Drosophila melanogaster: one gene and its partner. Each later gene encodes a partner of the first gene's protein in a complex. Each region holds a gene or a part of one and is shown on either strand. Other genes may lie near its edges.

Region 1 (16,392 bases):
GCTGAAGTACGAGTTCATTGATTTGCACCAGGATGGTTTGCCTTGGGGTGGTGGGGAACACGATTGCAATCGGAAGTTCCTTAGCAGCATGATGGATCGCAAGGATCCTGCCATCTTCCGCAGTGTCCGCAACATATTCCTATTTGGAAGAGGAGGAACTAGAAACCTTAAATGCATCTATAAATTCGAGGCACAGCGAGGCGAAAGGGTCAGAATCAAGATGAGAAAAGTAACGACCACCAACAGACCGTGCTATTCACGTGTGGATGAGGATATCAATCGCTCCTTTTGCTATGGCGATACCAATGTCAGAATTGAGGTAGGTATAACCACCTTTAAGCTTTCCAATTTTACTTAATATTACGTTTTACTTTAGATCTTTGAGCGACCCTACCATGATTCCATTTTACTTCATCGAGGCTGCATGTGCAACTCCTCTAACCAATCCCACCTACCGGTGGAATACACGTCTACAAGTCGCGATGTGGAGGTGCACTTCATCGCCCAAAACATGACCACCTTGGACGATCCAGATACGGTTAACTTCGAGGGTATGTTTGAGTTCGTCAAGGCTCCAACAAGCTGCAAGGATGGACGCAGGAAATTCGGACCAAGTGGCACTATAGACATGACCTTCGGAGACGTATGTAGATCCGTAAGCTTTAGGAGGCACAAATGAGATTTAAAATTTTTGTAATCAGGTGGAGTGCCGCTCAAGACCCTGGCTCATTGAGCCTTCTAATGGCAACAAGTTTTTGTACGTCCGCCTGAAGGCCATTTTCTTGAGTAAACACAATCCCACGCAGACACTGAACGCGACCTATGTGCAGACAGATACTTGGAGATGTGAGACCAAGTCCAGAGCTGTACTAACCACGTCGGAGGGTAGGCTATAGGATGTTCCATTATTGTGCCAGCTCTACAATCTGTACTTCATTTAGGCCTAACCATTGTGGCTTGTCCACTGAGTCCCGACTCGAATGCCTACGAGTTTGTGGAGATCTTTAGTTCCGGATGGAACGAAAGGCCAAATTTTGCGCTTGTCAATCGATCCCGAGCCATCAGCGTCGAGTTCCTGCGTCCTGGCAACGGGGAGTACTCCTTCAACTGGATGGAACTGATTCCCAGGCCCACACTGAGCATGGCGGGTAAGCATAATAGATGATCTTGATTCAAATGGTCTTCTTATGGATCCAATCTCGCAGAGGACTGCCAGTTTAAGTGTGCCGAATTGGGTGCCTGTGTAAATGCCAGTGTTTGGTGTGATGGTGTAGTCCACTGTCCTTCCGGGGACGATGAGACCTTCCTGCAGTGTTCAGCCTTGATGAAACTGCCCGCCGAGATCCTGGCCACGCTCTGCCTCATCTTTGTGCTCTCGTGTTGTGCTTTCGCTGCCTTTGCCTACAAGTATGTCATCTATTACAGTACATGTCCACTAATTCTATAATTTATTACATTACCACACTCGAAATAGGAAAATCAAACGCAAGCTGCGCGGCTCCTCGGTGCTGCAGACGCGACTCAAATCGCTGAGCTCGATGGACACGGCCGTTCTGGATGAAAAGGAGGTGATTTGCTGACAAAGCGACAATTCTGTACGTTACGTGGAGATCGATCGTGTGACCACGGTCTGATGCTCGACGGCCAGTAACGTGCAGAATTGTGCCCCGGAACAGACACCAGTATCGCCACCACAAGTCAACCAAGAAACAGAAACCACAATTTCAACTGACGCGAATGCGAAACGCAACAATGAAACGATGAGAAGAAAAAATGCAACCCTTTTTCGAAATCAAAGCCGAACAACCAGAATCAAAATCGCTCACCTGTTTTTTAAACTGCATTTATATGAGAGCGTATCCGCTACAGATCGCAGGATTTTGTTGGTTCTATTTGTATTAATCTCTATTTTATAGATCAAAAGACTCAGATGACAAAGTGTTCCCCTGGTTTTTAGTGTCGCGCAATTTTATAAGCAATTTTCTAGGCCTAGGGTTTTTCGTATGTATTTTCGATATGATTTCCCAAACTCGACCCACAAAAACCAACACACTGTACATACTAACGATTGCTTAGCACAGGACGACGAGGACCAGAAATCGGACAGATCTGACCAGTTATAACTTCCACTACGTTCGTGTCCTTGGTTCTTACAGAGTACTCATAAACCTATGTAGATACAACTGTTTCCTAATAGCCTTTAAGTGTATCGTACTATGCTAATCGAAACCGACAGACAAGTGATGATCATCATCACGAGTTTAGATGGGAAAGAGTTAGTTTTTTTGGAGAACGTTTAAGAAACTCACACAGCATTTATTATGCGGCGCACAAAACAAACAAGTAATAAAATCAAAAACAAAACAAAAATAGTAAAAATCCAAAGGAGTAAGCTGACGGAAGGGAGATGATTAATCGACCATTCCCAGAGTAGATCGTAAGTGGAACATGTTTTACATTTTAAGATTGATGGATGCATCGTAAACGTAATTTAGTCGCCAGAGGGACGCAGTGGTTAGTCGAATATGTCAATATACATACAAGCTAGATGAATTCGTTAGTTGTTTAATAGACGTTGTAGTGATCATGGATAATATCAGCATAATCAAAGCTAAATCAAGGCAACAATTTATAGGTATCTCGTCGTATTCAAAGTACTCAAAAAACCCAGTCGAATCGAAGTCATTCAGAACTCACGCCCATTGTTGTTAATGTTGTTGTCTCCAAAGTGCACAGTTCGCTTCATGCCACACCATCTAGCGCCTGCTCCCTCACCACTAAACCAAACCAAACCAAATCAGATCAAAATCAAATCAAATCAAAATCAAAACCACACCAAACTTTGCATGGTTATCCTCGTATGTTGGCTCTGGGCTCAATGGCAGCTGACTTAATCGAATCATTTTCTATTTTGTATTCTCTCTTTGAACATCCCTTTTGTGTCGAAGAAAAAACCCGTCGTTGAAACCAAGATCTAAGGCTCGGGGATCGAAAGCAAAGCAAAAAGCACGGCCTGGCCAAAAAGGAGGGAGCAGGGATCAGGGACTCGGAAAATACAACACAACAGAGTGTGAATCAGTCGAAATTATATTTTTGTTTAAACTCTTCTTCCTTTTCAAGAACTGTAAATAAAACAAATAGAAGCTGTATGATATTAACAATTTTATATTGAGTGTTTTATTTTCCATTTTGCTGTACTACTCAGTTGCACTCTCAAATAGTGAATATGTTTTGATATTCGATTCAAACTCAGACAATAAACGTTTAAATCTATTTTGTAACTCGGTAGTAACTTATTTTCATTACTATAGCAAACAAGTGGACAGGAGTTGCATAACTTTTGGATTCTCCAGATCACTTGGTCTGCGAAGTCCTGTAGCTGATTAAATGCGAACGAAAAGAAATATATATTAAACCAAAGTAAAGCTCAACTACTGAACTAATTAAATCAAATTAAATATTAGCAACTTACACAAGTTATTAGTGAACTGCCCAAATGAAAACATTTCTGTCGTAAACTAGATTTAACGGCGCTGATCTTGAAACCGAACTGAAACCGGATGATTATCGCTGGCAGAGTAGATTTTTAAATTTTAAATTAGTTTAAAGTAAAGCGTAACTGATAATTAAACGGAACACGGTAAACCAGCATGACTAAATAATTCGAATGTTGAACAAAAAAATCATATCAGATTCTAAAATGATATTAAATTTAAATGGAAAACTGAACAACTTAATAAACAAGCATTTAAATCCCCAAAACAAACTGCATGAGAACATTATTTTATACAAAACTCTTTACAGCGCATTGGACACGCCATATTCAACAAATTGAATTGTACATAAATACATAGGACATAAAAACAAAGTAATCAATAAAAAATGGGAAGTGAATCAACTCAACGCTTACCCCTAATCTATCAACTTAAAATGTTATAATTTTAGTCCTTTAAGTACGTGGGAAATTGAGTATCTTCAGATGGAGGAGCTGGTATGGTTACACCACCCGTATCCAGAGCTGGTTCATGGGGCAATGAATCCACGCTCTCCAACGGCATAAAACAGTCAGCTGAAATCTGCAAAATAAACTGTAGCTTATACAAATGATAAAAGATGATGAGAAGATCAGGGGACATACCTCCCCGTTCTTGTCGCCCACTTTTCGAGGATACTTGAAGCCAGCGGCACGTGCATCCATAGAATCCTCACAATTTGTGATCAAGCCCTGTCGATGATCCTGTTTGTGGGCTCGTAGTCGTTCTACATTAATTGAGGTGAAGCTGCAGATATCACAGCACAAGTCCCTATAGGCTTCGGCATGATTGAGCCGCATGTGGCGCTTAAGAGCATTGGCTTGGATGCAGAAGTAGTCGCACTGACTACATTTCAGGCTGCTCCTTGTGTCCTGGCTATCATGACGCTGCCGATGCTTGTGCAGGACACTGGGATCGCGAGTGGAGAACTTGCATTCGCCACATTGCAGCGGCTTCTCGCCCGTGTGCTGACGCATGTGAATCTGGAAAGAGTATTAGGTAGCAAGAAGATCGTAAAGTGCTATCTGAACTCACTATTAAGCTAGCCTTGCGAGCCGTCTTTTTGCCACACACATTGCAGATAAATGGCTTGATTTTGTTGTGAACAGTCTTCACGTGTTTAGAGAGCGTTTTACCGTTGACAAACTTGCGATTGCAAATCTCGCAAGTCTTCTCGGCATAGTATTTGTTTTTCTTTGACGATGGTGGCAGAGCAGCAGGTTGCGCGGCCATCTCTGCGGACTGTTCCTTGAGCTTTCTTCTCCGCTGAACGGCAGCCAGTGACCGGAGCACCCTGGGTCGCCACTTTTTGTGAACCTGCATGTGGCGCCACACGAGAGCGGATATGGGCGACTTGTAGTTGCATTCGAAAACGGGACACACTAGTAGGTCCACATCCACCTGGTGGGCTTTCCACAGGTGAGCCGAGCACCGCCGCCAGTTGGGCAGTTCCATGCCACATTCGCAGCAGGAAAAACTGCCACCCTTATGGCAACTACAGTGGAGCTCCATTTTGGTAGCATCTTGGAACTTGAAGGGGCATTCCTTTCCAAAGGAGCACCTTTAACAAACGAGTTTGTCAGAAGCTTATGGTAATAATATGGACATACATACGGCTCTAACATGTTGGCCCTTAGCACCAGCCGAAAGTCCTTGAAAGGCATGGGCTGCAGTTCACTTGCCGGGGGTTCCGAGTTCTCCGATCGCTCCACAACGGTTTGCTTATCCTGGCTGTTGCTGCCGGCTGCAGTTTGTTCCTTAGTTGAAGTCTTCGCAGTTTTGTTTTTGACACTGGGCGTTGAGATGGGCTCATAGCCGTGAAAGTAGACGAGATGTCCTCGAAGATCCTCCTGGAGATCATATTGACGAAGGCAGAGACTGCACACATATACGATTCGCGCAGAATTTTCCATTTTATATTAGTTACATTTCGTATTGGGATATTAACAGCAATTCAATAACAGCAACAAAGTGTTATCGAAAATAGTGAGCACTATCGCGGCTGCACTATCGAAATTTGAAATAGTTGTTTTAGAATAATTTTCTTAAAATTTCATAAACTAAATTATAAACATGGCATAACGCTGATTCTAATCGAAATTTGAACTAGTTGTTTTAGAATAATTTTCTTAAAATTTCATAAATTAAATTATAAACATGGCATAACGCTGATTCTAATGGTAAGTGCGCGAATTAAATTTATATAGTATAGAGTACAAAGAAGAGCATCAAGTGTCTTAATCCTTTAATTTTTGTGTGCCTGTTCTAAATTTTTCCAGCTGAGTGATAGTGTTATAAGTTATAGATGGCGCGTTATTACAGAGCCAGTGTAGAACAACGCTGTCTTTAGGCCACTAATCGATAAGAAATCGACAGCACCGAATATTCATCGTTTTATTCCCAGCTCTAATCCGTCGGCAGTCATTTGTTATTTCGCGAAATTATTTTTCGCAGTTTTGCAAGTTAATAGGCCAAAAAGTAGTCTCGGAGTTACCTAAAATGGGCAGCGCGCTGGAAAACTATGTGAATCAAGTGCGCACACTGAGTGCGTCCGGTAAGTTGGCCGACCGGCGAAGAACGATCCTCAAGAAACCGGGCTCGTTGCCGCCTTTGTTTTGATATTAAAGCGATTCGCAACTAACTTTGCTGGCTGGCTTTTCATCACAGGAAGCTATCGGGAGCTGGCCGAGGAGCTGCCGGAGTCGCTGTCGCTGCTAGCCCGCAACTGGAGCATTCTGGACAACGTGCTGGAGACGCTAGACATGCAGCAGCACTCGCTGGGCGTGCTCTATGTGCTCCTGGCCAAACTGCACAGTGCGTCCACCGCGAATCCGGAGCCGGTACAACTTATCCAGCTGATGCGGGACTTTGTGCAGCGCAACAATAACGAGCAGCTGCGCTATGCGGTGTGCGCCTGTGAGACATGAATCTTCTGTTCCAAAAGTACCCTAAAAGTAATCACATATCCCATTCAGTTTACGAAACATGCCATCTGTTTACCGAGTTTGTGGTGCAAAAGAACCTCAGCATCCTGGGCATACGCATCATTTCGCGCGCCATCGACCAGATTCGACAGTTGGAAACCCAGTTAACTCCCATACACGCCGATCTCTGCCTGCTCAGCCTGAAGGCGAAAAACTTCAGTGTGGTGCTGCCGTATCTGGACGCGGACATCACGGACATCTCCACCGTGGCAGCCGAGTGCAAGACGCAACAGCAGCAGCAGTCCCAGCACGCGGTATTCACGGTTGAAAATGAACTTCTGGGCTACTAGAACTCATAGATTAATTTTTTAGGATGCCAACAACGATGCCAAGTACTTCTTGCTGTACTTCTACTACGGCGGCATGATCTACACGGCGGTGAAGAACTACGAGCGTGCGTTGTACTTCTTCGAAGTCTGCATCACCACTCCGGCAATGGCCATGTCGCACATCATGCTGGAGGCCTACAAAAAATTTCTCATGGTTTCACTCATCGTCGAAGGCAAGGTAAGCTGGACAACAATTTAGTTCCGTTTATATATCAGTCTCTCAATCGGAAAATCTTGTGTCGGTTGCAGATAGCGTATATACCAAAAAACACACAGGTCATTGGTCGTTTTATGAAGCCGATGGCCAATCACTACCACGACCTGGTCAATGTGTACGCGAATTCGTCTAGCGAAGAGCTGCGCATTATCATACTCAAGTACAGTGAAGCATTTACGCGTGATAACAATATGGGACTGGCCAAGCAGGCAAGTATTTAAGGGTCATTCCTGGTTCTTTTCTAATCTGTGGCTTCCGTATGTAAAAAGTAAGACGGTATTCGAAAAAAAAATTAAAAACACCCAATTCTTTTCAAGGTTGAACAGTGCTACAAATTGAACTTTTAATTACTCACCGTTTCAAATAAAAAAAAAATAATTAAATTTATGCGGAAGTATAAACATAATATAAACATAAAATTATTTCCGGTGGAAATTAAATTTAGATTTTTCTGTATTCTAAACAACACAGTTTTTTAATAAGATAACTGGCAGAACCATCTAACTATGAAACTTTAATATTGGGTATCCCCTTAGGTGGCTACCTCCTTGTACAAGCGAAACATCCAGCGGCTCACTAAAACCTTCTTGACCCTTTCCCTGAGCGATGTGGCCAGTCGTGTCCAACTTGCCAGCGCAGTCGAAGCAGAGCGTTACATTCTCAACATGGTAAGAAGTTGTCTTCTTTTTTCGTTTTTTATTTATACCGAGATAATACCTAATTGCAGATAAAATCGGGTGAAATATATGCCAGCATCAATCAAAAGGACGGTATGGTGTTGTTCAAAGACGACCCAGAGAAATACAACTCACCGGAGATGTTCCTCAACGTGCAAAATAATATAACACACGTTCTGGATCAAGTTAGGCAGATCAACAAAATGGAGGAGGAGATCATTTTAAATCCAATGGTAGGTTCTATTGTGAGGTTATTGGTTATATGTTATTTGTTTAAATTCCATTTGGCAGTATGTGAAAAAGGCTCTTGGCAGCCAGGATGATGACCTAACGTCGCAGCACCCAAAGACTTTCTCGGGGTGAGATTTGGAATAAAAACGAACCGAGAATTGTTAGTAATGTTTCCTTTGTTACAGTGATCCCACAGATTGATGATACCACTGCCACAGAACCACCAGCAGCCTGCTGCTATCATTTCTACGCTCATCCAATCCCCAACACCGTTTACCAGAACTTGTCGAAGCCGCGAGGCCCTGGGCCCGAAAGCTGACGTCTCTTGCAGTCCGTACTCATTCAGCTACCACAACAACAAACTGCGCTCTTATTGCAAATTTAAAGATGAACATGCTATTTTAAATAAACTATGTATAAATCTATGACTAAGTCAGGGATCCTTATCACGCATTTGATTGACTCACAAATTATACGTCTCGATACTGCAACGATAAGGCTGTTGTGCCTTTTCTACGCATCGTTCGATCAGGCGACGTTTTACTGTCTGGACGGATCGGTTAAGTGCTTTGTACTTGCCCCCAATCTACCTTAATTGCAGTTCAGTTATCGTTCACGTTATTTTATTTACAATATCAATGTACATGTAACCTAACCTTAGGGCAAAAACAAACAATTAAGTGACTAGAGGACCAGCGCGTTTAATGTAGTTAATTTCTACTCGTAAGCCTAGTTTCGTGTATTTATTTACGTCTAGTCTAGTTGCATAGCTTAACATATCAACAGGCGTCTAGGTTGTGTGGTTCGTGCGTGTGGGTGGTCAGCAGCTGTCGTTCGTCGTACATCGCTCCAATCGCCCGAATTAAAACCGGAGCTCTGACATCGGAGACTGAGACTTGAGATTCTCGCGCCTCTCATAGCCAGCTGCGCTGCACCCATCCTAACCGGTCTTCATGGCGTCTAGCTCCATGATGGAGGTCTTCAGCTGCTGTGCCGGAGAAACCAGCCCCGTTGATACCTCGCCGTTGAGACTGCGATACAGCTTGTGGACCACATTGACCAGTATGAAGCACACAATGAGCACCAGCAGCGACATAAAGACGTAGGCCAAGACCAGCGGTGCGTCCGAAATGGGGTCCAGCATGGCGATATGTTTGAATACAGAAATATATATATACCGAGAATATGTCTTGAAAATTTGTTGTGACTTTGTACACTCGCTTTCCGTAAGGAAATGTTAAAGAGTGTAGTCCAGACAGCTCAGGTTCAGGTAAATAGACGGGTCGCAACGCGTATGTAAATTAGCCACTTGAGCATACACATATATAGCATGTATATGATATTCTGGAATTGTGACCGCGTCGGCGTTTCGTGTGTACGTCGCTTGACACCTGCCCGAGAACTGAAACGAGCCGAGAGCGTTAAATGGATGGAACTTTGCTTGGCATTACGTATACGCTTCGTTGCCAGACTGTTGCCGCTGTAGATCTTGCTGTATGTTGTGCGTCCAGTTTTAAGTTTTTGGCTTGGTTCTGATAAGCCCCTTGTGCAATAGAGTCTGTAACTTGGGCCAAGATTAGAAAATCGCCTCCACTTCTTGGAGTTCCCAGCGACTGAGAGCCGCCGCTCTTTACATCTGGCAACTTTTCGGACTCCAGCTTTATTTAGAACTCATGGAGGAATTCCAGTCGCATTCATATTCGCCTCGCAATCAAATCAACAACGCTGCCTTCTTAATTGGCCGCGTCAATAAAGAATGAAATGGCGTCAAACAAATGCTTGGGGTCCCTCGTCTCGTGGAGGTGGCGAGATCTGGTTGGGGGTAGTGATTTCGGCAATTAGGCATGATAGCCAGGCTATCGACTCGGCCTGAAAAGCTTTTTATCTACTGATAACGAATTTCACAGTCACAATGATAAGACCCAAAGACCCGCGAACCCCACAAGTTAAGGTTGCGTGCCATGGGAGTAGGAAAATCCAATTGTTAGAAATTAAACTTGGAGCTTATATTAAAGTATCACCTTATAGTCCTATAAATATATTTTTGAAGACTCCCCACTCAGCCTTTTTTAAATCAAACACCAAACATATTAATGTAACGTGACAAACTTCTGTATGTGGAAAATTACCTAACGAGCTGTAAACTTTTGATTTGTTCAGCGTTGAAAGAATTCAAAGTATGTTTTGTTTTCTTAAATAGGTCATTAAATGCGGAATTCAGTTTATACATAGGGAATGGAAAATCGAAATTGTTATGGAATTTATTAATGGGAAAATAGGGCTGAAAATTTAAATTTCCTAGATCGAGTAGCTGGTAAATATATTTACCCAAAAAAGGAAGCTTAATTAACACCCCCTATAAGAACACACATGTGTGCGCCTCTGTTCCGCTGGCTTTCACCTTCGTTGTCACGCGATTATCGTAAACTAGCGTGAGCTCAGTGCCCGACCCACTGAACCAGCCGTCGACCCTGGAGCCTCCAGCTCATTGATCTTTGTATACAATTTAATAAAACTAGTTATACCGCGACCAAGCAGCCCAGAACAGACGACGTATACCCCCCTATCCTTTAATCCGGTATCCGGGAGTTCCGCCTTGAGGAACCAGGTCGGCAGGCGGCGGCGTTATCCGTACACCTGGCATCCTGGTTATCTCTGGCCTCCTGGATCACGTCGTCGAGGGTCAACTGGATACGACTGTCCGGCCTCGGGTCCGGCCGCCTTTGGTTACACTTGAGCATGACTTTGAGGCGCGGGATCTTGGAGAGGTGGTCATAGAACCGCACTATATGCAAGGACCCAGAAGGCCTCGGTTCAGAGGCAGCACACACGGGCTGATCCCGGCAGTTGCACAAGAAACTGATGGCCTTCCGGCTGGAACTAACATCGAACTCGGCGCTGACCAGGTAGCAGGGCTCCAGGGAGAGCACTATACGCATCACTAGAGGAAGAGAGTCCGGGAGGAAGAGTAGGCCGAGCAACTGTCTCACTGGCACTGATCTTACCCGAAGAGGTCTCCAGGATCTGTGACCGGTTCTGAATCCAAACTGACCGTAAGCTCGGCTGATTGGAACGTGGGCTGCGGAGCGAGCTGTCCAGGTATTCCCGTATGGTCATCGCATGATTGGAGTGACGCAGTCCCAGGAGCTGTTGCCGTGAGTTGCCGGGCAAGGCGGCCAGAGGCAGGTTGTCGTAGACGGAGACATAGATCTTGTGGCTGATATAGACCACCACGAAGCACAGGATGACGATGAGCAGTCCGATAAGCAGGTAAGTGAACAGTGTCGGTATAAAGAAGATGGCGTCCAGAAACATGGGGTCGCTGATCCGGAAGTGCTAACTCACTGACAGAATACGCAAATCTACAGAGAGGGTTACGGGAATCCATGGGAGGATCTTCGAATCTCTTGGTTTTTGCAACATCTATGTAAATGTATTTATTTCGTAGTTTCTGTATTTTTTTATTGTTTATTTTTTGTTGTTTGTTTGTTGTCAATTTTTTTATGGATTTCTGCCTTGTTTTTTACATACGATTTTACATTGATAATATTATGCTTGTAATTTAATTGTATTCCACTCGATCTCCTTGCCTCCACTGCCTGCACGTCGGCTTAAAGTTGATTTTTCCGTGACCTCAAAACGATTTTGCCTTTTATTTTCGTTTCTGACCCGCCGGCGGGTTCCATCTACGCCCAAATGGGCGTGGCCTGCACACGGCGCAGACCCCTTACAAATGTTCTACATAGGCTCAACCTTTAGCATTTTGCATTTTGCTCATTTTCTAACAGTGTCTCATAGCTGAAATATTAGCACAGATATTTTCGATTTAAGCTTCTGGTCTGTAAAAATGTCAAAATTTTAGCTTTATCTCAGTATGTGTGCATTTCAAAATCGCATTTTCCAGTTATGACTTCATGTTTGAGAGGAGGTGGATGAGTGTGTGCGCGTGTGATGTAGCAACAGCTGTAGATAATGTTTCATGATCTATCGAGCAGATATAAGCTTTATAAATATATACACACAAATGTTCTTGTTGGCTGCGTTTTTTTCTGAGTGTTGTAAATGCAACTTCTCGTTTGGGCAATATTCATTAGTTCACACAGATACACACGCACACTCACCCAACACACAGGCAAACCCATGCTATCCGATATAAATTGTTGCAGTTATCTTCTCGTTAGCTGGCAGTTTTGGGAAATGCCTAGTACATTAGTTTTGAAACTTTAGAGGTATTCCAAGAAATGTGTATAATCAATCAATTTTAATTTTAAATTTTCAACTATCATAACGTGATTAAAAAGTATTGTATGGCTTTTTTTTAAAGCCCAAAACTCCAAAATTACAGTCTTACAATATAAGAAAATAAAACAACTTTCTAAACTTGACATATGTACATTTTTGAAGAACGGAAATACCTCTTTGATAACAGTTAAACTAGGCATTCGCTGTGCTCAAGCTTAAATTAGTTAATAAAAAATCATAAAACTATGTTAAGATTACAAAACACCTTTCGATGAAGAAACAAGAAACATGTTAAAAAATCATGAAGTTTTCACTGATTTTAATGTTTAATTGAAAAGTTTACGCTCGCTGACTTCACGTGGTACGCGTTTACTTGTAAGAATAATTTACTAAAATTAAAATTAAAATGGTTAATTAATTGCTGCCGTTGTGCTTTTGTTCTAGACAAAAAACAACGAATCATACAAGCAAAATACCATTGTTTCATTCAAGTCCTATCATTTCCATGACTTCATGCCTCGTATGAGAGTGTGTGAGTTGGTGTGTCTGTGTTTTGTGCCTGTGTGTGTAGCCTTTTATGATTTAAGTTATTACACATATATTCATCTTGTTTATTTCTTTTTTTAAAAACATTCAGATGTCTGTTGGATATTTAATGAAACGTTTTTGAGGAGGCAGCATGTCCCATAGATTATACAAATGGGCTCTCTTTTTCGAAAGACCCGGAGAATTTAAAAGAAGTTGAGAGAAGTATATAGATGTATCCGGGGAAAGCTATCTCCGATATCGGGGGTCGCGGGGTGTGGAACATGCCGACGCAACCTTTGCACAGAGACACACACATACACAATTATATAACTTCAGCACAACATACAGAATCGGATAATTAATATTTGTTTAGCCCTCAGCCCGCGTGCTCTCTGAATCTGAATCTGAATCTCCGACAGAATCGAGAATCAAATGGCTGTGACAATTAATTTTACACACTTATATAAGTTACGACTTCATGTTTATGCTGCTGAGCGTTTGTTTTTCTTATCTATATATCTATCCAACTAGTTCCCATCGTCTTCCTGTTGGTTTCTCACGTTCGCTGCGTTGTTGTTTCTGTTTGTTTTGTCGGTTGTAGTTGCTTTCTTTGCTGCTGCTGCTCTTTGTTGTTTATCTGCTGTAGTGGTTGTTGTCGTTGTTGCGGTCTTAAACGGACAACGATACGAAACTGTTGTATTGCGTGATGTTGCGTTTGAGTATGTCGGCGCAGGGTCCCAACACGCGTTCAAATCTGCAACAAAGCCAAAAAAAATTTACAGGTTAGCTACTGGAGAAGTTACTGGAGACAATTGATTTTATAATTGCTTAAGGTCATTAACATACACCTGCCTATTTGTCTTAGCACTCAAGCCACTGCACTTACCTCGCCCGGTCCAGTTTGACGCATTTGAGCGGCCCACGAGCTACAACAGTCGCTGCACGTGGTCGGTCCAAAAGCAGAGCAATCTCGCCAAAGTAATCGCTGCTACCCAGACGGCCCACCTCGGCGGGATCCTCGCCCTGCTGATTAGATAAACGAGTTGATTAGAGTGTCTCTTTTTAGGTGTCCCATGGTGTCTGATCGCGGTCACTCACCTCAGAACGCTGCTGCAGCACCACCGCACAGCCCTCGAGGATGATGTAGAAGTCATCGCCAGCTGCTCCCTGCTTGACAATCGTCTCACCGTCATCGAAGGAGCACGTCTCCAGGGAATCGGCCACTGTGAGGCGCTCCCATTTGTCCAAGCTCTCCAGAATGGACACGCGCGATAAGAACTCCTCGTACATCTTGCGCTTGCGGATGGTCGAGCCCATCAGAATGCGGCGGTAGGAGTCGCGGTCGATTCCCCACAGCTTCACATCGGTTTTGGCGCGCACGGTGGCGGCGCGAGGAGTGCCATAGATGAGGGCCAGTTCACCAAAGCTGCCGCCCTCGCTGATGGTGGTCACTAGTTCGGAGTTGACGAAAACCTGGCGAAGATGTGAACATATTCATAATGATGCAAACCCAATTCAAAGGTCATAGCAAGAAAAATAAATATACTTACATCGACCTCTCCCACATCAATCACGTAGAAGTTGTCGCCTTCATCGCCCTGCTGGATGATATTCTCGCCGGCGATGTGATTCACAGGGAACATGGCATCAAATATGTCGGATCTCTCGCTCTCGTCCAAGTGAGCGAACAGGACGTTCTTGGCAATCGCCTTGGACAGGGCATTCATCGTCTTGTAGTCCTTGGGCACCACCTTCTTAACATAGTTGGTGGCATCCTCTTCGGTTACGGGTTCGGCGGAGATTCCGCCTCGCCTGCGAACCGGTGGAGCAGCTGTTTGTGGCATCGGGCTGAGATCTTCGCAGTCGTCGGGGCTGATTACCTGTCTACTGGCATCCAGTTTGACTTGTTCCTGCCAAAGATATGAATAACAATATCGTTAGTATTTTGGGTTTGCTTTATCGCACATAAGTCTCGATTCATTATCATATTTGTTGAACATTATCTGAATAAAGATAAAGGCCATGCTGGAAATGTTGCACGATATTGCAGAGTATCTGGCTAGATTTAAGTTTAATATTAGTATAAGAACGGACTTAGCAGGTCTAATAATTGCAGAATAAAAAAGGTTCTATAGATTCCCTCAAACTCTCTCACTTTATGGAACTTAGGTGGTGCAAATTTAATTATCTGCTGCAGGAGTCAACTGCCCAAGTGCGTTAGCGACCAATTGCCAGATTAATGTGCGTCACTCTCGATGGATGTTTGGAAACTGCAACCAGTGGTTGTTCTCTGCAGCATTGTGCATATTGTCCGGAGACGCGCCCGGAAAAGCTCCACCCGCCCACATCCGTAACTCATAAGCTCCATCACTGCGTCGGCAGTCAAAAGAGCCAACCGGAGTAGCTGAAGAGCTTTGCATCCTGACTCTTGCTTGCTGCGCATTCCGGTGTCTCGAGTCCCTGTCCCTAAACAAATTTCCAAAGTGCGCACCAAAGCTGCACGGCCTGGCTGTCCAATTGCTGTCCATTTCCCATAGTGACGTCAAACCAGTCAAGCAAAATGGCCAGCTGGCCAGAGATGCTGATTAAGTTGCATTAAATTGTCACTCACTTGTGACTGCAAGTGGCCGCCCCTGGCAGTTATGGCTGCATTTGAAATGCGTTAGGATCGGTGTCCTATAAATAGGCTGGTCCGTTACAATATATTGAATGAACAGATGGTATTTTGAGCTTAGTTTATAACATGATTCGCTATACAACTCATTTTTACAAGCAATACATTTCTTATTTATTTTATTCCAGATCTGATAAATAAATCTCTGTTCCGGCAATCCTAACAATCAACATGTTTTCCTAGCCATATCAAAGTATTTGCATCTAACATCCAAGTAATTGCACTTGATTTGATTTCTCCATCCGACCGCAAACTCATGAACGAAATGGTTTTACGCCGTCCATAAACATCGTCGGGACCCGCGAAAAACTTCAAATGAACGACGCTGCTCATTAATTTTTATTGTCTAAACAAACCAAGCCAAAAATCGCATGAAGTACGCATGAGAAGTGTAAACAAATATGGAAAATAAAAGCAGGGAACCGCAATTAATTGGTGAGCTAAGCAATTTGCAGCCGATCATGGATTGTAGGTGACGATAACGAACTACTCAATGAATTCACCTCCGAATCGAATGTCGCCTCCATAAAATGGCAAATTTCTTGGTTGGCTGCCAGTCAGCTGAAGGAACCTGAAGTCAGGTGTCAAAACAGAAGATAATCGAGTGCTGCCGCCCAGAATCATCAACGTTAGGCATACAAATGCCTTTTAATTAGATGGAGCAAAGCTTAAACTAAACCGAATGCTTTAAACTACACGGAAGTTCTATGAGCATTGTTTTTATACCGTAATAGTTTAATAAAGATACTCATAATTATTACTATTTCTATTAATAGCTTTCTCTTTTCTAAACTCATTATATGTAGGACTTGGTGTCTTAACCAAAAATTATACTATAACATAGTCCATTGACTGAATAGTTGAATAAATTATTCGCAACGTACCAAAGTTCAGTATGCAAATGGCTCACTTTAGTTTATTATGCAGTCAGCTTACTGGGTGGCAGTATCAAAACATTCCCCTTCCTTAGCATTCGC
Region 2 (14,928 bases), on another chromosome or scaffold:
GTTTCGATGGTTGGCCTAGTTTCAGCAGATGGTGTTTCGACAATTACTTGATCCTTTTCACTAGAAGAAGGCAACTCATCAGGATGTGCCTCTTCTAAGGGTTCTCTTTCAGGCGATGTTTCGATGATTGGTTTAATAGTATCATCTGTTTTCGTCTCTTTGAATGCTTGAACCATTTCACTAACAGTAGGCAACTCATCAGCTTTAGCTTCTTCTTGAAGTTCCTCGGTTGGATACGTATTGGTGACGGATTGGATAGATTCATCAGTTTTTGTTTCCTTTAAAACTTCCATGACGGGATACGGTTTTACTTCTTGTTTAGTATTATCTAAAGTGTGTACCTCCTCACGTTGGATATTCTCTGAAAGTTCGTTGAGAGGCGAACTTTCGATGCAATGTTGATTAGATTCCGCATCAGTAGAAACATCAGGTTCTTGTTTTTGTTCCACAAAAGGCAAAGTCTCAATGGCTGGTTGAATGAGTTCCCCATCAACGGAAACCTCATTGGAGTTGGTTTCTTTTACAAGTTCATCGGAATGTGATTCAGTCAACGGTTGCTTAGACTCTGCGCCAGGGGCTTTTGGAGTCGGCGAAGTTTCTGTGACTGGTCGATCCGATTCTGCAGCACTCGAAACCTTATCTGGTTTGGTTTCTTCGGAAAGTTCTTCAGAGCGCTCAATATATGGTTTGGAGTTGTCGTTGTCGATGGGGTTACCATCACCAGATTTCGCCTCTTTTGCCAGTTCTTTAGAAGAGGATATTACGATTGGTGGTTCATCAGTATGCAAATCACTTTTATTGGATGGTAATACTTCGCCAACTGAACGATATAAGTCAGTAGAGGATTTTTCATCTGTAACTGAAGTGTCTTGGGCATCGTTTGTGGCCTTGGCATCTTCTTGATTAAGATTATGTTCAGGTATAGTTTTTTCCACACTACTGTCAAGGACATTAGTAGAATTGATCGAACTATCCACTGTTGTGTCTAAAGGAAATATCTCTGACTCTAGGATCGTCAATTCCACTGCAGATTCAATATTTTCATCTGAATTAACTGATGCGATATCTAAACTTTTCTCTTCTTGAAGTTTGCCACCTTTGAGATTTCGGTCAGGTATAGTTTTTTCCACACTACTGTCGAGGACATTAGTAGAATTGATCGAACTATCCGCTGTTGTGTCTAAAGGAAATATCTCTGACTCTAGGATCGTCAATTCCACCACTGCAGATTCGATATTTTCATCTGAATTAACTGAAGCGATATCTACACTTTTCTCTTCTTGAAGTTTGCAGCTTTCGAGATTTTGCTCGCAAGTACTTGCCTCAATTGTGGTATCTTCCACTTCAATTAGTGAAATTTCACTGATAGCACCCGTTTCGACATCATATTTACTTGAATTCTCATCGACAGTTTTGTGTTCCGTCAGATTGACAGATTCTTCAAGCTTGTAGGCTATAGATGGTTCCTGAGCACTGTCAGATTGTTTGGTAGTTCCTTCCGATTTCTTTGGCTCCTCTTCATCATCACTAAATACCAAGGGCTCAGTAAGGCCAACATTTGAGTCTGTATCTGAGCGATCCTCAATGTTATCAATAGGTGGATTGGTCTGGCCTAAAGGCCTCGTCTCATCCACGGTGACTTCGCACGACTCCACGCCCGAAACTACTAGTGCTTCGGAGAACATTGAGTCCGACGACTGGTCCAACAACTGAATTCCACTCATCTCGTTCGGGTTGGGCGAAACAGACCTGAAGTCGCTAAGATTGGGATTGGCATGCATGGTAGCTTTGTAGGTGGTGCTTGTCAGAGGATCCTCTAGGGAAGCGCTCGCTGTGGCTGTATGCCCAACATTCATCAGTGCCTCTGATGCCACTGTTTTATTCTGATTTATTGAATCCAAAGGATCAACTCCAGTCGCTGTGCTGATCGTTGTCACATTAATTTCTTCCGTGTCTTCCATATTGGCCCCAGTCGTTTCGGACATGTCCTCGAAAATCTTGTCCAAATGCAATGTGTTGTTCGTCACATTCAGATCGTATTCCGTGGTTGCCCCCAGAAAATCTTTGCGAGACTTTAACACTGTGCTAGCTGGTTCATTTGGCACCATGATATTCCGGGCGCTGGGCGTCTTCAGAACATTGTCCAGAGGCTTTCCTTGCTCCATGCGAGCTAGTGCAGTGCTTCTTCTATCGTGGTAAGGAGTCCTACCAACAGAGGTTTCTAATAGTTCTGCCATGTTTCCTATAATTGGTGAGGCAGGAATTTTCGGAGTGCGCATCAGTTCCCTTAGCCCTTTAAAGCGGGGTGTGCTGCAGCTTTTTGGTGTTTTCAATAAATCTCTGAGGCCGTGGAAATCTACCTTGTCAATATCATCATTTGGCAGCTCGTTGCCATAATTTTCGTCGTCAGCGATGAAAGATTTGCTATCTGTAAAAAATATAATTTAAATCAAATAAGCCATTATATTTCCATTCCATTTCATAAATGATATTGACTCAACTTACCATCTTCGGAACCAACTTCTTCCAATATGACTCCCATATCGCCCACAGATTCATCCACCTGAAGTTCCCTATTGGGTGTGTTCTTAATACGCAATGATTGGCGCGTTGGCGTGGACATTTCTTGCGTAAATTGCCGCTTGCGCCGGGGAGTAACAGCGACTTGGCTGTCCATTGCTGAACAGGATGCACGACGAGAACGCTTGTTGTCCTTCTCAGGTAATGCCTTACTGCTGGCCTCCATCGAGGATCGCCGAGTGCTTCTCCGTGGCGTTGTTGACACTGCCCTCTGCTCAACAGAATGACGGCGCAAGCTTCTGCGAGCCACGGGGGTTTCTGCACTTGGAGTTGGTTGGTTCTCTTTTTGAGATATCCCTCCTGTCGCAATAAAATAAAAATGTATTTTGGGAATTTTCAAATTTAAATCGCTTACCAGTTGAATTTGAATTACCAGTAGTACTCTCCAATGGCAGCTCTTCGCAAATACTTTCCTCGATTATTTTCTCAGAATTAGCTGTTACGGTTTTGGAACATAAGATTTCATAATATTTATTTCATATTATAGGTACTTACAATTCTTAGTTTGTTGAGGAATATTCGCATGAACCTCTTCGCAAATGTTATCCTCAATAACAGCATCCTCAAGTTGTTTGTCGATTGGAAGTTCACAGTCTTTTTCTTTACATTCGTCTTCATTTTTGCCGGTTTTCAATTCATTTTCGTCACGTTCATTCTGGTCGAGTATGACCGCATCTGGCTTAGGATTCATATCTTCCTGTGCATATTTTAACTCGCCTACCACATCAGATTCTGACCCGATCGACTCAACTTTGTCTTGGATAGGTGCAGGCTCTTCTGAGGTCACTGACGGAAGCCTCTTTTCAATTAGCGAGCTTAGCTGAAAGGATACATCATCGTCTACTTCCCCAGTTATGAGAGCTGTAACCGCTTCGATTGCCAATGCTGCGCCACTCTGATCGTTTCCTTGGGTAGTATCATGCAGTATAGTGAACGTGCGGCTCAGCTCGTCCTTTGAATCGTCCGGTTCTTCCGGAGTGGAGCTCTTGATCTGGGACACATCGATTTTTTTTTGACATGGAGATGACGGTTTAGATGATCCAGGCTTAGGGGAGCCACTTTTCGGCGAGTTAAGCGAACGACGTGCCTTGGCTACGAGCTTGTTGCTCTTGTCAACGCCGGGACTACGCTTGGCAGCCGCAAACGATTTTCTGAGCTGGGAGACCTTGTTCTCTCTGGGAGACTCCATTAGGGATATACGCTTGCGTGGCGAGGTCTTGGGTGCGTTTCCTCTCGTATGTCCTTCTCGCTGGACTGGCGTACGACGATGTGGATGGAATGGCAAACGCCGAGGCGTAGTCAGGCAGTGGCGACGAGCCTCCAGAAGAGATGTCCGCTTGGGGGTGGCTATGGGGGTGGTCTTATCTGGTTGGTTGGAGGCGATCTGCTTTTTAATGCTGGTAAGCAACGCTCGTTTCATCAGTGACTGGGGCGTTCTATTGGGTGTGGTGATTCCAGCCGGACGCTTAGGAGTTTTATACCGTTGCGAAGGGCTTGCTGATGGCGGGGTGTCAGAGTTAGTTATGTCTATGACTAATGGGGATGCATCTGATGATTCGTCGGTGCTGTCTACACTGATAGGCGTCTGTTTGGGTGTGAGCTTGAATCCAAGCGTCTGTTTGGGTGTTTGTCGTAGCTTTGATGGGGTGGTCAGGTCGATCAGGAACATGGACGAATCCCGCTTGGTTTTTTTTGAGGTGGATGGCGTGCTAAAGTCCATTAGATCTCGGCTGCAGCTGTCTTCGTTTAGTTCAGAGAGCACATTGCCCTTGGGGGTGCTGTATACGCTCTTGGGCGTGGAAACAGCCAAAGACGTCGTGGTGTAGCCAGGTTTTCGAACACATGAAAAGGATTTCTCGATCTTCACGCCAGTCTCGCGCGGCGAATAAGAGGTAATAACCACGTCGGAGATGGCGCACAGCCTTAGTAGCTTTTGGTGGCTACCTGGTGGCGTTGCGGTATTCTCCTTATTCTGCGTAGCCTCCAGAAGATTTACTTTGGGGGACTCGTAAGCTGTCTCCTCTGTGCTGCGCTGAATTGATTCATTCAGTGAGACATCCTCCAAGTGAGACTCACTCTGATCACGAGACTCTATAGAAGTATTTCCTTCGTCGTCCGAATTGATGCTGTAGTGAAAACTGAAAAGGTATAAGCAGAGATAAGGTTTTATGAGGACTATTAACAGGCAGACAACACATGCTTGCAGTAGGGACTTTTTCCTATTGTTGTTGCCCAAAGACATTTTAGGGGTTGGCCAGGTAGTCGGTTAGGGGTCTGCCTGCTGTTTTCACTTACTTGTGAACTGTCAGGCGTTTTTCGGCTTGTAGACGATGCGATTGCTAAATCAAATAAAAATGGGGAAATTGTAGGACTTGGAATACTGTACTATCTGGAACAGATGGCGGCTATTACCTTCAATGAAGGGCAGGAGTTTGAGGCCTGTTCGTTGGGCAATAGGCGTTCTGGGGTGCATGGGGCATCCTGCACCTCGGAGGTCTTGGGGAACTCCCACGTGTAGACCTTGTCTCGAATGGTAATCTTGCCACCGTGTAGCAAAGGACGCTTGCCTGCAGCGTGGATGGCCACGTCGTTGAGATGAATGGGGTCTCCGCTGGACTTGTTGTATATGATGACCTAAGGGCGGAAGAAGCAGTATGTTAGGGCGGTTAAGGGGGATTCCTGCCATCCAGACTCACCCTGCCGAAGGCATCGCAGTTTATTTCGCAAATTAGACGCTCCTCCTCTGGCCCCTCCAGGATGAGGTCGCAATTGTAGTAGGAGCCCACCTGGAAGGTGCGCCCTTTGGCTGCCAGAACCACGGTTTTACCATTTTCGTCTTCGTAGCGCAACCTACCGCCATCCAGCGACATTTTCCAAGCGGCGTCGCAAATGCGGCTTGGGTGCGGGGAAAACGAATACCGAAGCGAGCACTTTGAAAAGCCGCAAAGCTATTGGGAATAATACGGTAAATGCACGTACACAAAACACCCACAAACTATTCACTGATTTCTTTCACACTTTTCCACCAGACACTGTTTTTACGGCCCACATCACGAGCTTGCCAAAGTTAATTGTAGCGAAAACTCTGTGCAGGAATTTTTTTGCAATGGACGCGCAAGCCCTGCCAACCTGCTTTTAATGCGCCGGCTTATGCGTTACATTTAAAATTCGGGGTGCAGGAACTGACAACTTACTTGAATTAAAAGTGGTTTATATTATGTGATTATTAATAATGGTTAATCTCAAGAAGTGAAAAGAAAGATACAGATTACAGATACTGCGATGAATCATTTTGTCACTATGAAATAAGGTTTTAAGTTTTTTTTAGTCAAAAATGCTGCAAATTAGAGTGCGTATCGTAAACAGAAAAATTAAATTAAAAAACTTTCCTTGGTAAAAAATTAACGATTAAAAATACATTTTATTTATTAAACAAATAAATTGTTAATATAGATAAATTTTAAATTTTTTAATCAATATTTTAATTTCTTAACTTATAATAATCGATTTATAAAAAATATCGATTGTACCTTCATGAAATTGATTGTACAGATGGTACCGACAAGTTCATCTCTAGAATTGAGCCGGAAAACAAAAACTTGCAACAAAAGACTACAATTTTCGGCATAAGTACAATCACAATGGACTCCGACGCCGCACAAAAGACCTGGGAGCTGGAGAACAACATCCAGACGTTGCCCAGTTGTGACGAGATCTTTCGCTACGACGCCGAACAGCAGCGGCAGATCATCGATGCGAAGCCCTGGGAGAAAGATCCCCACTTCTTTAAGGACATTAAGATCTCGGCTCTGGCGCTCCTAAAGATGGTGATGCACGCTCGCTCTGGCGGTACTTTGGAGGTGATGGGTCTAATGCTTGGCAAGGTAGAGGACAACACAATGGTGAGTTATTGAATGTAAAAAAGGTCCTCAATTTATAAGTCATTCCCGTGCAGATTGTCATGGATGCATTTGCACTGCCAGTGGAGGGCACTGAAACCCGCGTCAATGCCCAGGCACAAGCGTACGAGTACATGACCGCCTACATGGAAGCGGCCAAAGAGGTGGGACGCATGGAACACGCCGTGGGCTGGTATCACAGCCATCCCGGTTACGGTTGCTGGTTGTCCGGCATCGATGTGTCCACCCAGATGCTCAACCAGACATACCAGGAGCCATTCGTGGCCATTGTGGTTGATCCGGTGCGCACTGTTTCCGCTGGCAAGGTGTGTCTGGGTGCATTCCGCACGTATCCAAAAGGTTATAAGCCACCAAACGAGGAGCCCTCGGAGTATCAGACCATCCCGCTGAATAAGATCGAAGACTTTGGAGTCCACTGCAAGCAGTACTATCCCTTGGAAATTAGCTACTTCAAGTCTGCTCTGGACCGCAGGCTCCTCGACTCTCTGTGGAACAAATACTGGGTAAACACACTGGGCAGCTCGGGTCTGCTCACCAACACAGAGTACACCACCGGTCAGATCATGGATCTCTCCGAGAAGCTGGAGCAGAGTGAGAACTTTTTAGGTCGCGGTACATAATGGGTCGATTTAGGAATTGTGCAAATAATTTACCCGCTTTATTATCCACAGGAACCGATGTCAATGAGAAGCGTTCGGAGGATAAGCTGTCCAAGGCCACCCGAGACTGCAGCCGCTCCACCATTGAACTGATACACGGCTTGATGGCTCAGATTGTTAAGGACAAACTTTTCAACAAGGTCGGACTGGGCAAATAGTTCAACACTAAAATTCGCAATGAATTTTAAAATGCATTGTGAATTTTCTTTTCATTTCCCTGGGAAATATTTAAGTAAGTCAAGCTTATCCAAAAGAAAAAGGAAATTATAAAACCGCCTCATAGGCTGATGAAAAAAATCTCAAACGCTTTTACTTTTAAAATGGGTTCTTTTTTGTAGAGAAACTGTTTTCGTTATTTATGTATTAGACGACGGAAGGCATAGTAAAAGTTGAAACTTTTATTCGCCTGGACGAAAAACAGCCGATCCACCATTTATTATATTCTTTCAGATAAACAAACCTTTTTATTGTTAAATAAAAAACGCTTCTGCATTTGACATTTATAGAATATAAAATAATTGGACATGGCGATAAAACATTGTCGAAAATGTGATGCTTGGGTAAATCAATTGGTCTAGAATTATGTAACCCGAGCCGGTCTCAAAGCAACAACTGAAGCCCACCGACTGAAACATTCCCTAATTGCTTCGGGATTTTTAAAGTAAATATTACACAGCCTGGTTAGCTATACAAGCCAAGCCGCGAATGCGTCCCTCTCATCAATCAAATGGTTTCATTATTTTCATCGTTTGGTTTATTTTACAACTTGTATTCCCCGATTGCGTGTTTGCCGATGGGCTCTAGGGTTTCCCTGACAGACCCGTAGTCTACTGTCTGCTCCTGGGAGCGAGAGCTACAAGTGAGATGTCAACGCCCTTCCAGCACGTGGCCCAATCAATTTGAAGGGACAGGAAGGGGGCCGCTTGCGAAGGGCGCTAATTAAATACGCTGTCACGTTTATGGCCGCTGTGAAGTATCAAAAAAAAAAAAGGGGGGAGGGGGCGCCAAGGCAAATACAAGTCCTGTTTAACCGTTATCATCACTCCTGCAAGGAATGCCCATTAAAATGTCAACATTTGTGTGCTTGTGCAGGATTTATTCTGTGGAATTTTTAAATCCTCTTAAATGTAAATGTAAATTGTGGCGCATAACAAGTCCAAAAATGCCACATCAAAAAGGGAGATAAACAAAATAACAAGAAATATTAACGCACTTGGAGTAAGCAAACGAGAACCTTTATAAAGATTTACGTGACAAAACCAACGAGGACTGCGTTTGTGCGTGTAAGTTATTGGTGGTAAGGCAATAAAACTTTCATTTTCAGACATTATATCGAAAAGTAACCGTCAATTGGCATCAACAAGGAGCATTGACATGAAATGTAACACTGCCAAAGGGGGTTAGACCCTCCGCTTGGCGAATGGGAAGGATGAGTCTACAACGATTGCCGAGGTGCTATAAAAGTCCCAGCGACGAACGACAGGCGCTTCATTCGCGTCCTGGATGCCAGTTAGAAAGCTTCCTGGATGCCAGTTAGAAAGCTTCCCATTCGCGATACACACATACAGTCCAAGCCGAGGGACGTCATTCCAGCATCTACAGCATCCTCCTCGTGCGCTTTCGTCCAATAAAAATCAAAGTAATAGCAATGGAAAACCTATTCTCCGAGTGCTATACGTGCGTTTAGTGCCTTGGGAACTTTAGCCAGCATATGTGCTCCTTCATATTGTGTGGGAATCTATTGAATTTTCAGTTGTAAATTTCAAGTTGTAAATAAGTTAGCAGAGTAATAGTGCATATTTAAAGTGAATCACAAGCAACGCGATTAAGGAAATTTAAAAACTTACAAGGCGGCGATTGAATATTAAACGGAGACTTTAAAGTGAAACTTAACCACGGGGACCTGTTGAGCAAAGCAAGTGAAATTTAAAGAAAAGTGTTGAGAAGTGGAATAAATTGAACTACTAAGAGAGATTCTTTTAAAGTCATGTTTTTAATTTGTTTAAATTTTATATGTAATATACTCAAAAAAAAAGGTTAAATTTATTTTATATGCAGATGGTAAATTAATTCTGATAGACACTTCTTATAACTTCTTATAATATATAATTTCTTATAATATATAACTTCTTATAAAGGAACAATCGAACAATAAATTGAGACAATGTATCTCGTTGTTTTTATTGTTTTATCATGTTTTCTTGTTATACATTTAATCGTCCATTGTTTTCCATTTTTTCAGAAACATAAACCATGTATGGAATGCTGTATGAGAGTGTGCAGCACTACGTGCAGGAGGAGTATGGCGTGGACATTTGGCGGAAGGTGTGTCACATCATCGACTGCAAGCACAATAGCTTCAAGACGCACCAGATCTATCCGGACAAGCTGATGCCGGATATCGCCGAGGCTTTGTCCGCCTGCACGGGCGAGTCCTTCGACTTCTGCATGAACTTCTTCGGGCGCTGTTTTGTGCGATTCTTCAGCAACTTCGGCTACGACAAGATGATCCGCTCCACCGGGCGATACTTCTGCGACTTCCTGCAGTCCATCGACAACATTCACTTGATTATGCGTTTCACCTATCCCAAGATGAAGTCGCCCAGCATGCAGTTGACCAATATGGATGATAACGGAGCTGTGATCCTATACAGAAGCAGTCGCACTGGAATGTCCAAGTACCTAATTGGGCAGATGACCGAGGTGGCCCGCGAGTTTTACGGCCTGGAGATCAAGGCTTACGTGATCGAGAGCCAGAATGACATCAGTGGAGGCACTGCTGGTCCCATCAAGCTCACGGATGGTCCCTTGACCGTGATTGTGAAGTATCGTCTGGACTTTGATAACCGGGAGTACATGGCCAAGCGCGTCAATACGGAGGCCCATCCCTCACAGCTCAAAATGCCCACCGTGAAACTGGATGTGTTCCTCGATCTTTTTCCCTTCACATTTGTGCTGAACCACGACATGAAGATCACGCATGCTGGTGAGAAGATCGTTGAGACCTGGATTATGCACAATCCAGGGGCCAATCCAAAGAGCTTCATTGGCACCCACGTAATGGACTTGTTCCAATGCCGTCGTCCGAAAGACACCACTATCGACTGGGATACCCTGATCCAGATGAGAGCCGTGCTCTTTGAGTTCGAGTTGATTCGCACGGGTCACAATCGCGCTGCCTACGATGCTGTCTTAAACATGGACTTTGAGAACTATGACGAGATGGACTTAAACGAAGCCCAAACTATGGCGCTGGCCAAGGCTCAGGAGTTCAGTGAATCCCATCCGGTGGATGATGATGAATCTGCGAGAGAGGATGAGATCGACCCTGCCACTGGGGAACGTCGATCTTCCCAGGGCTTGAGGTCCATCCTTTTGAAGGGACAGATGTTCTACATCAAAGATGTGGACTCGCTGATCTTCCTGTGCAGTCCTCTAATCGAAAATCTCGATGAGCTGCATGGAATCGGTCTCTATTTGAACGATCTTAATCCACATGGACTGAGTAGAGAGCTTGTGATGGCGGGATGGCAGCACTGCTCCAAGCTGGAGATCATGTTTGAAAAGGAGGAGCAGCGATCGGATGAGCTGGAAAAATCGCTGGAGCTGGCAGATTCCTGGAAGCGGCAGGGGGATGAGCTGCTCTACTCCATGATTCCGCGGCCCATTGCCGAAAGAATGCGACTCAGCGAAGAACAGGTTTGCCAGAGTTTCGAGGAAGTGTCCGTCATCTTCCTCGAGGTGATGAACGTCTATGATGAAGGATTGAACAGCATTCAGGGAGCTATGCAGACGGTGAACACTTTGAACAAAGTATTTTCCGCTCTGGATGAGGAGATCATTTCCCCATTCGTTTACAAAGTGGAGACCGTGGGCATGGTTTACATGGCTGTTTCGGGTGCTCCTGATGTGAATCCCCTGCACGCCGAACACGCCTGCGATTTGGCCTTAAGGGTGATGAAAAAGTTCAAGGCTCACGATATGGGGGACGTGGCTATTCGAGTTGGCATCAATTCGGGACCTGTGGTGGCTGGCGTTGTGGGCCAAAAGGTTCCTCGATACTGTCTGTTTGGGGACACCGTTAACACCGCCTCGCGAATGGAGAGCAGCAGTGATCCCTGGAAGATCCAGCTATCGAAGTACACCGGCGATAAAGTGCGCCAAGTGGGCTACAAAGTGGAGTCGCGTGGTACGGTCCAGGTCAAAGGCAAGGGCGACATGGAGACCTACTGGCTGCTGGAGGGTCCCGAGGGCTAGGAATAGAAAAATATTAAATGTATCTTTATTTATAGCACCATGTTCTGATTGTACGGCACCTGTGGCTCTCTTAATTTGTTGCAATAAAAGAGAATTTAGCTCTGCTCCTCTGACTTTTTGTGAAAGTATAAATAATACCTATTTCCTGCTGGTTTTGGGACAAACTTAATTTGTTTAATAATACCAGCTATCTATGTAGACAATAGACTCTTATTGAATACACCCTTTATAAGCTCAAGTTCTTATAATATCCTCCATCCTGCCTTTTCAATTACCAACTCCTGCCATTTCCCGCAGACAACCCTCATTTCGGAAAATCCATTTTTAATAACTTTTATGGGCGGTTTGCGTGTCACTTTGCACACCATCATCTCCAACCCACGACGGACCATCGTAAGCCCATTCAAACATACAGTAACCTCCGTTCGCCTCTTTCTTATATAAATTAAATTAAGTCACTCTGCGTGTCCTTAGCTCGAACGCCTGGACGTTGGACACTTAATTCCGGTGCAATATTGAAAATAACTACACTGAACAAATAATAAGACTTTGAAAATGGTTAAAAAAAAATAAAAATAAGAATTTTGAAAATATTCTTGTATTTTCTTAGTTTAATAAAAAAATATTTTTTGTCACAAAAGTTGATATCAGAACTTTTGTGTGTTGAGGGCCATCGTCATTAGTTTTTACTCCGTTAAGAGCTGTTTTTGTTTGATTATATTGAGTTATTTTCTTCGGGACCCAATGTACATAAATATAATATTTTTGTAGTTATGCAACGCGTGCCTGTCGCATCTGTAATTGATGGCTTTTTGAGTGGTAGAAGTATCTCCTTCTTTTATTCAGCCGGGCATATTATCGTCCTCTTAGTCGAATAATGGTCTGTCCATAAAATTGTCAACGTTTATTTAATAGACTAGCCCTAAAATCCGTTTCGTTTAAGTGGGACAAAGGCTTTTTGTTCGATGCTGTGAAATCCCTTTTAAATTGCTTTAAAACAACACATCAAATATGTGCAGGATTCAGGCTAACATGTGTATGTACATCTTTTTGTATATATAACTGCGTGAAAATGGAAAAGCATTAAGCACAGAGCCACAAAACCATTCCTCCATCGGGGAAATGGCAAACGGCCAAAGCGAAAAACTCTGTTACAATGATACATTTGACAGACGGTTTTCGATACTTCAGGGCTTGGGATATACATTCAAAGTACTCGAGTATTTCTAAATTGTAAGAAATGGTTCAGAAAATTAGAACAGCGTTTTATACAGAGAATACAATTGGAAAGAAATTATCTAAAGGAAACTAAAAGTTTGAAATTTTAACATTTGTATAAGCCACATATCTATTATAACTGACTAACCTAGTCGTCAGTCTATTACTAGGTGTTATTCAGCCCTGGTAAAGACCCAAAGGACAATACTTTCCCAGGACACCGCACACATATATATGTACATCGATGTGGGGGAGTGAGCCCATAAAAGGAAATGAACGGGGAGAAAAATGACTCCTTCGGTTGTGTGACAATGTTTTACTGTTTCGGAAGGAGACAAAGTGGCAATTGTGGCAAAGAGCATTGACTGCCGATGATGATCACGATGGTCAAACAGAGAAGTGCGTGTCGAAGCGCAGGCACGTAGGTCCTAAGTGGGCCGGAAATACAGCTCCAACTGCAACTTGGCTAGTGGGTGGGCTATAAAAGGCCTGACCGCCACAGGGGCACGCTTCAGTCGACCGACATCGTCCCGGCGAAAAGGGAAAGCTCCAGGGGAAACCGACGGTACCGACGGAACCGACGGATGCGAAAGAGCCGACAGACTCACGAAGCTCGTCTGTCAGAGGAAATCATGAAGCAAAAGCAAATCAGGCAGCCAGAAGCCAAGGAAGCAGCGACAGGCGGCAAAACAAATTTAGTGTAACAATAGCAACTGCCGACGACGCAACACGGAGTACGGAAAAGTGAGAGTTTGCCGTGGAGTGCGCGTATATATATGTACCCCGACTTTACGCATCCGGGGATGCTGTGCGTGTGCAGGCGTATATGCCTTCCTTAAATTATAAATAAGCGACTGGCAAATGCCGCGTGGATATAATTAAAACTCTTTCTGAGGCACAGACAAACGACAAGCGGCTCCGATGCTGGAGAACTTCATGCGATTCATCTAGTGGATTGGAACGAGCCGGAAAGCAATATAAGGTAGCAGGGATTGCTGGGGATATAATAAGCTAATTTCACGGTTCACTAATCAAAGAGATATATCGAGAGAAATAAGGGGATTTTCATACATCCTTAAGAAGGCAGTTCTTTAAAGGATTAGGAAGCAATATGAGAAGCAGAGGAACTACATCATTTAAGTTAAAACTTAAAGTTAAAGTTGCAACTGAGTTGGCCACAAATTATTACACTATAGTCCATTTAACTTTAGCATCCAATCCATTATTTATCAATTTATATAGATTAGGGTTCTCCCTGCCACTTTCAAGCTACCATAAATTACGAGCGATTAAATCTACGTATTGTTAACTTGAGTATAAAGGAGCAGAAGTTAAGCATTGCCTTTATGTTCTTTTTGACTACGTGGATTCCCTGACCATTAATCAAACGTTAGCATTTTGAAACAGCATTTTTATCCACTTTTTACGACCTTCGGCTTGTCGGAAATTTGCATGTTTTTTGTCAAAATTAAATACACTAAACTCAGGAAAGATGTTCGAGAATTTGTGGCTCAGTTAGTTAGTCTGAGTAGAAAAAAAATGAAAAACTGGCGTTGCCACCAGCGAATTACCGGCAATAGGAAACGGAAATAAGTTGAGCACAATGAGCTATGTTCCTTTCGCGAAGAACGTGACAGATTTGAAAGACCTTGATGTGGGAAATAGGAGGATTTCCACCGCGTGTCTGCCACATGAACTCAAATTAAACTGTCGGGGCAATAAATCAAATGCTACGGAGGAAAAGCATTGGGTGTTTTTGAAGGCTAGATAAGAGGATATACTCTGACGGCTTAAACATACACCAAATGTATGTCACCTTACATTAATTACGTGTTTAATGGATTTTAAATGCATGTCTCTAAAAATAGGAAACAGATTTCACGCATAAGAACAGCGACTGAATACAATTTAATTTTCACTCTAAGTAGTTACTCAAGACTATATCAGCGCAAGACTTTTTTATGTAGCATCCTAGCCTACTACCAATCACTTAAGTTGTGTACGAGTTTGTTGGCCTAATCCCTGACCCAACGCAACGAAATTGTCCTAAATCCTCCGGGGTACGAACACAGTTTACCTAATTACCAGCTCAGAGCGATGGAAAAACTTTGGCTAACCACACCCCTAAATATGTGACTGCCAACTTTGTTTCGTTACAGGATAAACTTTTACGAAGGCAATTTCGACGATAGGCAGGACTTCACAGGACCAAGGACATTCACATCCTGCCCCATCATGTACGGAATGCTGTACGAGAGCGTGCAGCACTATATCCAGCAGGAGTATGGCATGGA

Evidence for each region.
Region 2: CSN3 (region 1) and CSN5 share a complex: the UniProt entries of both Drosophila melanogaster proteins name them as parts of the CSN complex.

The regions. Positions count from the first base shown.
Region 1 is NT_037436.4:20,831,105-20,847,496, reverse strand, and holds CSN3 (COP9 signalosome subunit 3), read left to right. Parts: upstream 1-5,920; 5' UTR 5,921-6,032; coding exon 6,033-6,087; intron 6,088-6,200; coding exon 6,201-6,449; intron 6,450-6,508; coding exon 6,509-6,771; intron 6,772-6,829; coding exon 6,830-7,024; intron 7,025-7,095; coding exon 7,096-7,272; intron 7,273-7,599; coding exon 7,600-7,731; intron 7,732-7,790; coding exon 7,791-7,973; intron 7,974-8,031; coding exon 8,032-8,099; intron 8,100-8,156; coding exon 8,157-8,172; 3' UTR 8,173-8,401; downstream 8,402-16,392. Other genes in the region: CG32432 (uncharacterized protein), read left to right, coding at 1-319, 377-643, 702-885, 942-1,148, 1,206-1,407, 1,475-1,568, 2,949-2,978; CG11456 (uncharacterized protein), read right to left, coding at 3,942-4,076, 4,139-4,516, 4,569-5,094, 5,148-5,446; CG13255 (uncharacterized protein), read right to left, coding at 8,912-9,115; CG3288 (uncharacterized protein), read right to left, coding at 10,542-10,912, 10,977-11,286; Pka-R1 (protein kinase, cAMP-dependent, regulatory subunit type 1), read right to left, coding at 13,411-13,495, 13,628-13,767, 13,840-14,214, 14,292-14,651. UniProt on the Drosophila melanogaster protein: Component of the COP9 signalosome complex (CSN), a complex involved in various cellular and developmental processes.
Region 2 is NT_033777.3:16,463,958-16,478,885, forward strand, and holds CSN5 (COP9 signalosome subunit 5), read left to right. Parts: upstream 1-6,141; 5' UTR 6,142-6,221; coding exon 6,222-6,482; intron 6,483-6,535; coding exon 6,536-7,112; intron 7,113-7,171; coding exon 7,172-7,317; 3' UTR 7,318-7,449; downstream 7,450-14,928. Other genes in the region: CG42232 (uncharacterized protein), read right to left, coding at 1-2,428, 2,506-2,880, 2,936-3,016, 3,076-4,718, 4,876-4,919, 4,993-5,214, 5,277-5,450; Gyc89Da (guanylyl cyclase at 89Da), read left to right, coding at 9,413-11,416; Gyc89Db (guanylyl cyclase at 89Db), read left to right, coding at 14,870-14,928. UniProt on the Drosophila melanogaster protein: Probable protease subunit of the COP9 signalosome complex (CSN), a complex involved in various cellular and developmental processes.